Rattus norvegicus: one gene and its partners. The protein of the gene in region 1 purifies or fractionates together with the protein of each later gene. This does not show direct contact. Links are inferred from orthologs where the notes say so. Each region holds a gene or a part of one and is shown in the gene's direction. Other genes may lie near its edges.

What was found.
Region 2: the proteins of L3mbtl2 (region 1) and Yaf2 purify together in Homo sapiens (affinity purification with mass spectrometry; 5 studies listed by BioGRID and IntAct, counting the BioPlex papers as one, with this or other methods). This does not show direct contact. The link is inferred for Rattus norvegicus from reciprocal best matches to the Homo sapiens genes L3MBTL2 and YAF2.
Region 3: the proteins of L3mbtl2 (region 1) and Tfdp1 purify together in Homo sapiens (affinity purification with mass spectrometry; 4 studies listed by BioGRID and IntAct, counting the BioPlex papers as one, with this or other methods). This does not show direct contact. The link is inferred for Rattus norvegicus from reciprocal best matches to the Homo sapiens genes L3MBTL2 and TFDP1.

What each region holds. Positions count from the first base shown.
Region 1 is NC_086025.1:115,065,354-115,069,099, forward strand, and holds the start of L3mbtl2 (lethal(3)malignant brain tumor-like protein 2), read left to right. Parts: upstream 1-1,187; 5' UTR 1,188-1,206; coding exon 1,207-1,230; intron 1,231-3,616; coding exon 3,617-3,746. UniProt on the Homo sapiens protein: Putative Polycomb group (PcG) protein. PcG proteins maintain the transcriptionally repressive state of genes, probably via a modification of chromatin, rendering it heritably changed in its expressibility.
Region 2 is NC_086025.1:126,376,431-126,380,176, reverse strand, and holds the start of Yaf2 (YY1-associated factor 2), read left to right. Parts: upstream 1-1,517; coding exon 1,518-1,543; intron 1,544-1,840; coding exon 1,841-1,966; intron 1,967-3,746. UniProt on the Homo sapiens protein: Binds to MYC and inhibits MYC-mediated transactivation. Also binds to MYCN and enhances MYCN-dependent transcriptional activation. Increases calpain 2-mediated proteolysis of YY1 in vitro.
Region 3 is NC_086034.1:82,868,626-82,872,271, reverse strand, and holds part of Tfdp1 (transcription factor Dp-1), read left to right. Parts: intron 1-398; exon of another isoform or gene 399-504; intron 505-717; coding exon 718-1,027; intron 1,028-1,423; coding exon 1,424-1,492; intron 1,493-2,564; coding exon 2,565-2,716; intron 2,717-3,073; coding exon 3,074-3,240; intron 3,241-3,646. UniProt on the Homo sapiens protein: Can stimulate E2F-dependent transcription.

The sequences.
Region 1 (3,746 bases):
TGTGGCTCCGGGAGTGTTAACCCAGACTGGTCTGATTTCAGACGTTTGTAAGGCCACACAATTCCCAAGGAGAACCCAGGGTGTGGAAGGAGGGTGTACTGGGGACTCACTCCATGTGTATACTCCTTGGCAAAACCTTTGACTTCAGTGTCTTCCTCAATCTCTTGCCACCCACTGGAGCTACACTGGTTGACCAGCAGGCCATAGAACCCTCCTTTTGCTTACCCAATCCTGGGATTACAGGCACGCTCCATCATGTACTGGGGACAGAACTTAGGGTACCATGCTCTGGTTGCAATCATTCAACTAGCTAAGTCATCTCCCCTAGACTGAAGGTTATAACATATATCACTATAATTTATTTATGATGTGGGTGTTTGGTTGAATGTATATATATGTACCATGTCAGTGTCTGGCATTGTCAGAGATCAGAAGAGAAGGTAGGATCCACTATAACAGGGTTTATAGATGCTTGTGAGTTGTCACGTGGGTGCTGGGAATCGAACCTGGTACCTCTGGAAAAGTGACCAGTAACTACGGAACCATTTCTCCAGTCCTAGGCTTTTTTTTTTTTTAAACATTTATTTATTTAGCTTGTGTCTGTTTGTTTTATGACTCGGAGGTCAGCACAACTTTGTGGGGTAGGTATTCGCCTTCCAGCTTTATGTAGTGGGCTCGGGGATTTGAACTCAGGTAGAAAGGCTCATGCAGCAAGAACCTTTACCTGCTAAACCAGCCCTAGCAAGCAGACAGACACAGGGTTTCTGTTTCTGCCTGAGTTGAAAGAGGGATTAGGCATTTCTGCTAGGCATTCCGGTACAAGAACACCTTTACTTCCTACCTAGGGAGAGTGCGAAGCTTTGTTTGGGGCCTAGCCGCGTCCATCCTAAGCGCTCAGAAGGTTTGAAATTTGACTTAAAGAGGACAAAACTGAGAAGTACCCTCCAAGGAGATTTTCACGTTACTAAGGCAACGCCCCTTCTGGTGCACCCGGGGGAAAACTACAACTCCCATAATCGCCCGGGCTACCCAGCCCCTCCTTAATGGGGGCGGGGCGCGGGCGAGCGCGGAACCGGCTTCCTATTTCCTGCGGCATGATTGGCCCGCAGCTCGGGCGGGGTAGCCAATGAGCACACTCTCGGAGAGCGGTGAGGGCAATATGGCTTCCTGCACCTGGTGACGGTTGAGGAAATTGAATTTGGTATCATGGAGAAGCCGCGGGGCACTGAGGTAAGAGGGTAAAGGGTTCAGTCCAAAGGGGGAAAGGGAGCCCCGAACGCCTCACTCGGAGGACGCGGAGTTTAGCGATGTCTGGGTGGTGGAGAGTTGCAGGGTTGATAAACTGAGGTACGGAGTTTAGTCCGGGCCGGAGGCTACAGAGGTTCCTTTTGGTTTGATGACGAAGGAAGGGAGGCAACGCCTGGTTTCATGATTCTGAGCTTTAGGATTGGGCGGCCTGTCCCTTCCACGCGGGAAGTAAAGGGAGGGAGATCAGAGTTGGTTATTATTCCACGCGGGGAGCGTTCACGTGCAGGTCTCCCAGTGTACTCACGGCCATCTTCTTTAGTGAGGGCTTAAAACAGCCTTTTGGATTGACACAGCTGGAAAGTGCAAGAGGTTGTCACCAAGAATGTCAGTTTCCAAAACTCTGTTATGCTTTATGTGTGGCACAGCAGCCGATGACCCACCGCATCTTGCATTTGAGGTCTCCATTTCCAAGCGGTCATAATTGCTAATTTTTATTGAGCACTGTTTTGAGTGTTTTACGTTTATCATCCCTTCCCAGAATATTATTAGTGGTATTATCCTCATTTGGTGGAAACTGAGGCAATGCAGTTGACTTGCTGTGGATCATACAGCTAGGAAGCACCAGAGATCTCATTTGAACCTTGGCTCAAAGCCTCTTTCTCCTTACCTTTGTTTTGCTCCCCGCCCCTCCCTCGCCCTCGCCCTCCCCCACCCCCCACTTTTCCACTACAAGTTAGGTACGTTTTTATGTAGCGTCCCATCTCTACCTCACATTCTGTGACCCGTAGGTGAGAAAATTGAGTCCCACAGACCTTAAGATCCTTAGCTGATTGAAATAAGCTAAGCTCACGGCTGTGGTGCATACCGCTATGCAATTAGTCTCTGGGAGTCATTTGACTCAAAGCCTCCTTGGGATAACCTGGGTCTCAATTTTCTCAGCCTTTTTTTTTTTCTTTCCCCCTGTTTTCCTTTTTGGAAGAAAACAGGTTTATTGAATACACTGCAGGGGACAGTAGGCTAGGCATCAGCAACAAGAGGGCCACTGCCAGCCTTAAATTTGTTTCTGAATTGAAATCATTTGGATGTGCATATACAGAAGAGGGAAGAATGAGTTTCAAATGCCTTCGAACCCATTGAAAAATGTTTGAGGTGCTTAGGGTATTTCCACATTATTGTATAGATCTCTGATCCCTGGCATAGTTTTTTGACCCAGTAGTGGTGTGTAAGCAATGTTTTTTCAATAGACACTGTACTTTGAAGTTGGAATTTTGCCCTACACCCAAGCCATCAATACAAGAGGTCCTGGTGCTGAGCAGAGGCTCAAACCAATCACAGCTTGCAGTTAGCCACGCAGTCATTAGAGGAAACAACCCATTTTCCTTCCTTCCTTTCTTTCTCTTTTTCCTGTTTTGGTTTTGATTTTCAGGGAACTTGTTTTGTAGACCAGGCTGTCCTCAAACTCACATAGATCCGTCTGCCTCTGCTTCCTGAGTGCTGGGATTAAAGGCATTCACTACCACACCTGCCTTTTTCTTTCTTCTTCTTCTTCTTTTTTTTTTTTTTTCTTTTCTTTTTTTTCGGAGCTAGGAACCGAACCCAGGGCCTGCGCAGGCAAGCGCTCTACCACTGAGCTAAATCCCCAACCCCTTTTTTTTTTTTTTTTTTTTTTTAAAGAGGATCTATTAGCCAGATGGTGGTGGCACACACTTTTAGTCCCAATACTCGGGAAGTAGAGGCAGGCAGATCACTGCATTCAAGGTTGACATGGCCTACATAGCTAGTTCCAGGGCTTCTGAGAGAAACCCTTTTTTCAAAAAGAAAAGAGAGAGTGAAAGGGAGAGGTGGGAGTATGGGGGGTACTAGCTGTGTAGACCAGGCTGGTTTCAAGCTCAGAGTGATAGGTCTACCACAGAGTGCTAGGATTAATGATGTCACCACAATACCTAGCCGCCTAGAAGTTTTATTTTTTTTATTTTATTTTTTTTTTATTTTTTTGGTTCTTTTTTTCGGAGCTGGGGACCGAACCCAGGGCTTTATGCTTCCGAGGCAAGCGCTCTACCACTGAGCTAAATCCCCAAACCCCTAGAAGTTTTAAATGAATGTTCAGCACATATGCATGTATGTATGTATGTATGTATGTATGTATGTATGTATGTATATTGGTTTTTCATGACAGGATTTCTTTGTGTAGCCTTGGCTGTCCTAGAACTAGCTTTGTACCAGGCTGGCCTCAAACTCAGAGATCCACCTGCCTCTGCCTCCCCACTGCTGGGATTAAAGGGGCTTGCCACTGCCACCCCAGCTCATAGTGGGTTAGCCAATTTGTAACCTCTCTTGTCAAGCTGAGCACGGATTGTTTTCCCACTAGGAGACGCCATCTTCAGAGCCAATGGAAGAGGAGGAAGATGATGACTTGGAACTCTTCGGAGGCTACGATAGCTTCCGGAGTTACAACAGCAGTGCGGGCAGTGAGAGCAGCTCCTACTTGGAGGAGTCAA
Region 2 (3,746 bases), about 11 Mb from region 1:
AAAAAACTAAACAACCAAGCAGACCCCACATAAAACAATTTTTTAAAATGATTTTTCAAAAGTGCTCCACCGCTGAGCCATATGCTTGCCCGTTCTGCTATACTTCATTTTAAGTTTCTTCTCTCAGGGGGCTGGGGATTTAGCTCAGTGGTAGAGCGCTTACCTAGGAAGCGCAAGGCCCTGGGTTCGGTCCCCAGCTCCGAAAGAAAAAAAAAAAGTTTCTTCTCTCAGAATCTGGTAGCCCGGTTCCCTCTTAATTACCCCAATTAATCTCTAATTCCCAATGATAAAAGGTCAGCATTCCCCCTTCGGTTATTAACTTTTGATGTTTTTGGTAAGTAATACATCAATACAGCAGTCTCCCTTAGCTGCGGTTTTTAGCTGCTTTCCTATTTAAATTACCCACGGACAATATAGTTCAAAATACTAAGGACTTCATAAATAATTAACTCCTAAGTTTTTAGTTGCCACCCCCCTCTGAGTATTATGATGAAAATTTGCTTTATCCTGCTTTAGTCCAGCTGGATTTTCTAAACACCCTTTATAGTGTATCCCAACTAGGAGTCACACAGATCAACTGTTAAGTACTCAGTGCCTGAACTGGGTCCTCTTCAGTTAGTTAAGCCTAACGCTAAGCTACACCGCCTCCATCAGCACACCCAAGTAAGGCAGTAAAGGCAGGGCTCCGCGAAAGGATGGATTTCATCTACCCTTTCTTCAAAGGAGCAGCTCTCCTGACTTGGCACGCTAAGGTCGCCTCTCGATCAGAGCGATGGCACGCTAACTCTGGTTGTGGGGTACCCGCTAGGTTGGGGAGGTGGGAGCAGAGCTTAAAGGACCAGCGAGATGGTTGTTTGGGTCTAACAGGCGAGGTGTGTCTCTGATAGGCTGAAGTAACGAGGCTGGGGAGGTGGTGTCCAGGACACAAGCAACCTCATTCGTCTTAGGAAAGCTCACGAACGTCCGTTTTATAACAAGCCACTGCAGAGCCCCGTGAGGCCAAGAGGACGCCTCTGGAATTAAAACAGGATCAGACCCTGGTTTCGTCACGTTCGAATTATGTAAGTCAGAGCAGGGCACCGAACCTTTCCCGAGCCTCTGGGTCGCTACCCCCAATGAAGGACGACGGTCCCCGCCGCGCTGGGCGCACGTGTGTCTGCGGGCGCCAGCCACCGCGCCCCTCCGGGCGTGCGAGCCACGGCCTGAGCGCTCCGGGCGGCGAGCGGGTGAGCAGGAGGGAGGCGGCGCCGCGAACTCGCCGCGGGTGCTGGGCCGCGCTCCCCGCGTTTGAAGTCTCCGGCGCGGCCGCTGGTTGGCCGGCGCGGGTCACGTGCGCGCGGGCAGGAGTTTCCCCGACAGCTGGAGGCTGCGTGGGATCCGGCGGCGGCGGTGGCGGCGGCGGCGGCGGCTGCAGCTCGCGGCGCGGCCTTCCCCGCCCCCTCGCCTCCGCGCTTCCGCCGGCCCCTCGCCTCGGCGCTGACAGACGGGCCGCGGCCTCGCGCGCGTCGGCAGCGAGCATGGGCGACAAGAAGAGCCCCACCAGGTAGGGCGCCCGCCGGCGGAGCGCCCGCGGCCCGGTGGCGCGGCCCGGGGCGCGCGCGTGTGTGTGTGTGTGTGTGTGTGTGTGTGCGTGTGTGTGTGTGTGTGTGGAGAGGGGGTGCGGCGCCGCGCGCCGCTGCCCACAATGGGCCGCGATGGCGGCCGGGGTCAGCGGCCGCGCTCCCCTCCCCCGCGCGGCGCCGGGCGGGGCGGGGGTCGCGGGCCGGGCGGGGCGGGGCACGGGGCCGGGCGCGGCCTGCGGCTGACCCCGCGCTGCGTCGTGTCCGGTTGTGTCCTGCAGGCCGAAGCGGCAGCCGAAGCCCGCCTCGGATGAGGGCTACTGGGACTGCAGCGTCTGCACCTTCCGGAACAGCGCCGAGGCCTTCAAGTGCATGATGTGCGATGTGCGGAAGGGCACCTCCACCCGGTGAGTCCCGCGCGTCCGCGGCCCGCGGCCCCCGCGCGACGCGGGACGGCGGGGCGGCCAGCCAGGCGGTGTCCGCGGTGGGGCGCGACCCGGCTGAGCCGCGGCTTGCGGCGAGGGATCGGTGGCGGCCGCGGCGGCAGCGGCGACGTGGTCCGCGACGCCTGCTTCGGGGGATGAATTATGGAAGGGGGTCGCCGGCCGCTGCTATTCAGTGCGTGGCCGGCGCGGTGTCCCCCTCCCCAGCCGGGCGCGGAGACGTTGGCCGCATTGTGGTGTTGGTGTGCGGGGAGGGGGCGGGGACGGGGACGGGGAGGGGGAAGGGACGGAGGAAAGGCCGCGATGTCATTCGGTCCCCCTGGGGAAAAAGTATCGCTGTAGGATCGTAATAGATCAAACTTTCTTAGTAACGGATGTCCGGAAGGGTCAGGCCAAGGTTTCACGTCTGGTTTTTGTTCCATTTCTGTAATATTTTACAATTAAGTAGTTGGGAGGCGAGCCCAGCAACGCATTTTTACTCGAGTGCCTGAATATCTTTACACAAACGGGGTATCCTGATCTTTGTCTGTTTCTGGCCCTAAATTTGTGGTGTGGTAGATATATAGTATTGTCTTTTAAAAACATTTAAAAAGTCAGTGGCCTTTTTGATCCGTCTCCACCTGGTCACAGGTCCCTTGCAGGAAGGCAGACTTTAAGTTCATTTCTTTGAGTCCTGTGATTTGTAGCAATGTTTAAGTAACGTATTTATTTTGCTACTCTGAAGCCTATTAGAATATAAATTATCGCAGAACATGGGGAATTTTCTGTTTGAAAAAGAGGGCCTGTATAATTTTGACATTCTAAATAGTCAAAGTTGTTTCTAAAAAGGAGGTATCCCGGTTTTAAAATTCAGTTTATAGAATTTTATTAACATGGTGAGTGTAGAGACATGTAGAGATTTTATTGTTTCTACAATACTGGCCGCTTTTGACAGACCTATCGTGTAAATCTCAATAGGTTTTTTTTTTTTTTTTTTTTTTTTTTTTTTACTGTGAGTCCTCATTTACATCGAATAGAATATTTTCGGCGTTTCTTGGCATCTATTAAAAAGCAAGGTTTTAAATACTTTTTAAGTTCAAGGAAAGATTCTAAAATGAGAAGCTACTTCTATTTTTGGACTCCTGTTATAAGTGTTTTGAAAAGCACAGGGTGTATGTCTGTGTAAGGATGGGAATGGCTTAGTGTGTACTGTATACATATTTGGACATACGCAATATGTAGCTCATTTGATTGGTTATTTTGAGGCAGGCGTTTTGAAGTAGAGACAATTACTATAACCCTGATCTCTGCCACTATATTGGTGCCTTTTTTGTTCGCTTGTTTTTGTTTTTCCTTCTATTCTCTCATACTTTTAGGAATTAGACGAGTCTGTTTGTTTATTTGCAGGGACAGCAAGGATAGGGGGAAGCTGGTGTCCTACTCCACAGCCAGTCTTGGGCTTAGAGGAACGGAGAAGTAGAGTAGGTGGTGACACTCAGAAGAGAAGCACCAGGCTGAATCCCTGCCCCTGGAAGGATTGTAGTGCACAGGGGAGTTGGCCCAGGACAGAAGTGGGCCTACTTTAAAAGGGGCCTGGGGCCCACTTGGAAGCCCCTGACTTTTTTTATTACCAGTATATCTGAGCTCTTGTAGATCCAATTTTTAGTGGTGGAAACATTACTTGAGGAGGACTCAGAGAAGCATTGTCATTTGGATTGAAACTGAAGAGGCTCTGGGCCACTCACCAGAAGTCTTAAGGGACACT
Region 3 (3,646 bases), on another chromosome or scaffold:
CTCTACCAGGTCCCACATCAGGGCTCCATCCTGTGCGTGGTCTGTCCCTCCAGGGCTGTACTGCCACTGGGACAGTAGCGGATGTGGAAGTGAAGTGATTCTCTTTAAAGGTCAACAGTGTATCACTTTTTAAAAACACTGTTGTGACCATGTCTCTCTCCCTTCAGTTTAGAATCACCTGTGCCCAAGCTCTCCTGAGGGACCTAGTGACTGTTCCTGGTGTGATTTAGTGAGGGGACACATTTGCTGTGCCTCCTGACCTGAAACCTGCACCATGGTTTCCTTTTGACACAAGCCCATCAGTCAGTCTGAGCATTTGCCTTATGTTATGGTAGCTTACCAAAATCAGCCCTGAAAATTCCTAAGTTTACACTAAATGTGCCCTGCTCTGATGCCAGCAGACGCCTTTAGAACAGTGGTGCCTAGTGTGTGGTCCGGATCAGACCCATGCTGATTTCTGCCCTTCGGATGTCTGTCCGTCTTCCCAGACATTTAAAGGCACAGGTGTGTGAACTGGCCTCGTACCTGTTCTTTTCTGACCTGACAAACACTTGATACTTGCCAATGTCCTTGATATATTAGGGCGGAGTCCCTGCTGCCTATGGTGGGGCTGTGGGAACAGTGGGCCTCTGGGGCCTTAGGCCTTTCCTCTGGAAGTGTCTGGATTCACAGTCGGCTCCCAGGCTCTAACAGTGTCCATTTTCTGCTGTTTGGAAGGAAGCGGAACAGGAAAGGTGAGAAGAATGGCAAAGGCCTGCGGCATTTCTCCATGAAGGTGTGTGAGAAGGTGCAGAGGAAAGGGACGACCTCCTACAATGAGGTGGCCGACGAGCTGGTTGCCGAGTTCAGCGCCGCTGACAACCACATCTTACCCAACGAGTCCGCCTACGACCAGAAGAACATCCGGCGGCGTGTGTACGATGCCTTAAATGTGCTGATGGCCATGAACATCATCTCCAAGGAGAAGAAGGAGATCAAGTGGATCGGCCTGCCCACCAACTCTGCTCAGGAGTGCCAGAACTTAGAGGTACACTGCCTAAAGCCGCTGCGTTGTCTTTGGTCACATGAGAGGACTATTCCAGGTTGCCGAGTGGACGAGACAAAGGTCCCTTTGCATTTGGTAGTCCCTGTTAAAAGAGAGAGTTTACGTGTGTGTGTGTGTGTGTGTGTGTGTGTGTGTGTGTGTGTGTGTGTGTGTGTGTGTGTGTGTTCACTCGCACACGTACGTACGTACGTGAGAAAGGAAAGGATCAGTGTGCTGTTGGAGTTACAGGAACACTGACCTCCATCCAGAGCTTTGGTTGTGTCTGTTGTACTGTTGTGGCTTGTCAGTTGTTCTTGGTGAAAGCCTGACACAGTGAGTTTGTCCTTACGCATGCTGATGGGTAAACCAACCCCAACCCCACCCCCGTTCTGTCTGCAGGTAGAGAGGCAGCGGAGGCTGGAGAGGATCAAACAAAAGCAGTCACAGCTCCAGGAGCTCATCCTGCAGGTATGGCCTTTCTAGGGACGCCCACCTTCCCCCGGGAAACAGTCTGTTGGCCACACAGGCCTTGTTGTCAGGGAGGCTTGACTGTGAGCATAAGCACTCCTTGGCATGACAGCCGAGGGAATTTTAAGTCTGCACTGGGCATGACATATCCTCTGTAGATAGATGTTGGTTGTCACAGTTACTGCATGGGGAAAGCATGGTGGTTAAGGTTGGTCGTGTCCATGTGAAGTAGCCCTGAGAGACTTGTCTTGTAAGAGGCCTGGGGATTCAGTGAAGATAGTGTATACAGGGCTCATGGCAGAGCAGACTGCGATGGGCCAGAACCTTCCAGAAGGCATAGCGGTGGTACTGGACATGGGGGTGACTGGCCACCAGCCTGGGATGATCGTAGTTTCCGGGGCACCTAATGGTCAGAGCTGGAGATCCCAGCATTATCCGGCCCCTCACAAGGCCTTGTTAACTGCCTCAGACACAACGTAACCGATGAAGAAGTGGTGTCAGGACCTAGGGCTTGGTAACATAGGCTCTTCCTTCCCTGTGTCCTCAGCCTGAAGGTGGCATGGTAGGGCCCTTACCAAGATCTGGGAAATCTTGGCTCCAGAGGGAAAAAAGTAAGCTGGGTAGGTAGTGGACCAACCCACGCCTCATTTCCTCCCCTCGCTCTTCTTGGTTGAGGTTTTTATGTCGTTGCCTGTCCCCATATGGAGATCAGGGCCTCCTCCTGTATGTCATGTCTTTATGAGAACACTGCCACTGTAGGGAGGGAGAAGTGTGGTTGGCAGGCTTCGATCAGAGTCTTGTGGCCACTTGGTCACTTCAGTACTGGACCATTGGTTCTGGGTCCATTCCTCAGAACTGCAGAGGTCCCTCATGCACTGCAAGGACCGAGTGTCCTCTAGCAGGTCATTCCTGTGACTGCTTTCCCCGTGCTCCTTGTCCCCTATAGGCTGTGAGCAGATGTCACAGGCTGCTACAGCCGATCTCTCAACACTCAGGTTCCCACTATCTGCAGGAAGGAAGGGATCGTGTTACTGTTATTGACATCTATCGGGGCCATGTTTGTCTTTTTCAGCAAATTGCCTTCAAGAACTTGGTGCAGAGAAATCGCCAAGCGGAGCAGCAGGCCCGCAGGCCACCGCCTCCCAACTCTGTCATCCACTTGCCCTTCATCATTGTCAACACCAGCAGGAAGACAGTCATCGACTGCAGCATCTCCAATGACAAGTTCGTCTTCAGTGGGCCCTCGAAATGTAGCTCCTCGGGGAAAGAAACAGGCATTTGTCATCAGGATTCAGTCTTATGGCTGCTGAGTAACAGCAGTTGTGGTCTCTGGTGGTCCTAGAACATGTACATGTGCAGGTAGCGCTGTGTCCCGGCCCAGGGCCATGCCTAGAGCAAGACAGGTTGTGGAATTATCCAACGTGTCTTTCCTTCCCTGGTGTGAACTGTTGTAGAGGAGTTCAGTTGTAGGCCCTGGACGGGAGGTGTTGGGAGGGGCTGCTGCCTGGTCCCCACCCACAGGACTTACTGCCTGCTCTTGGAAGGAGGCCACATCATCCTCACAGTGCCTTTCCCCAACAGATTTGAGTATCTGTTCAACTTTGACAACACGTTTGAAATCCACGATGATATCGAGGTGCTCAAGCGCATGGGCATGGCCTGTGGGCTGGAGTCGGGCAGCTGCTCTGCTGAAGACCTCAAGGTGGCGAGAAGTCTGGTACCAAAAGCTCTAGAACCGTATGTGACAGGTCAGTTGTGCCCTGCGACTGGCCATGCTGCGACCCAGAATCCCTAGTGCCTGGGTGTCTGCTGAGGTCGGGCTGATCGTTGGTCACATGACCAACCTTGGGTGTTGGGCTCCATGAGTAGCACCTGTGGTTTTCATGGTGCAAGTGTCACGGGGTGAGGATCTCTCTATCCTGTAAGATATTACCTGCACTTGAGCCTTCCTGCAGCAGATGCAGGCCTGGCTGTGCCTGTAGCTCTGTGTGAGTCTGAGGGGGGAGGTGGGACGCTCTGCATGCGTGCTTAGTCCCTGTCCCTACTCTCTGGTGCTGCTTGTCCTCCTAAGGGGACAGGCATGCTCCTGAGGAACCAACCACTCCTGGCTCTTACGTAGAGAGAGGGCAGGGAGAGCAAGCTGGCAGGGCACCT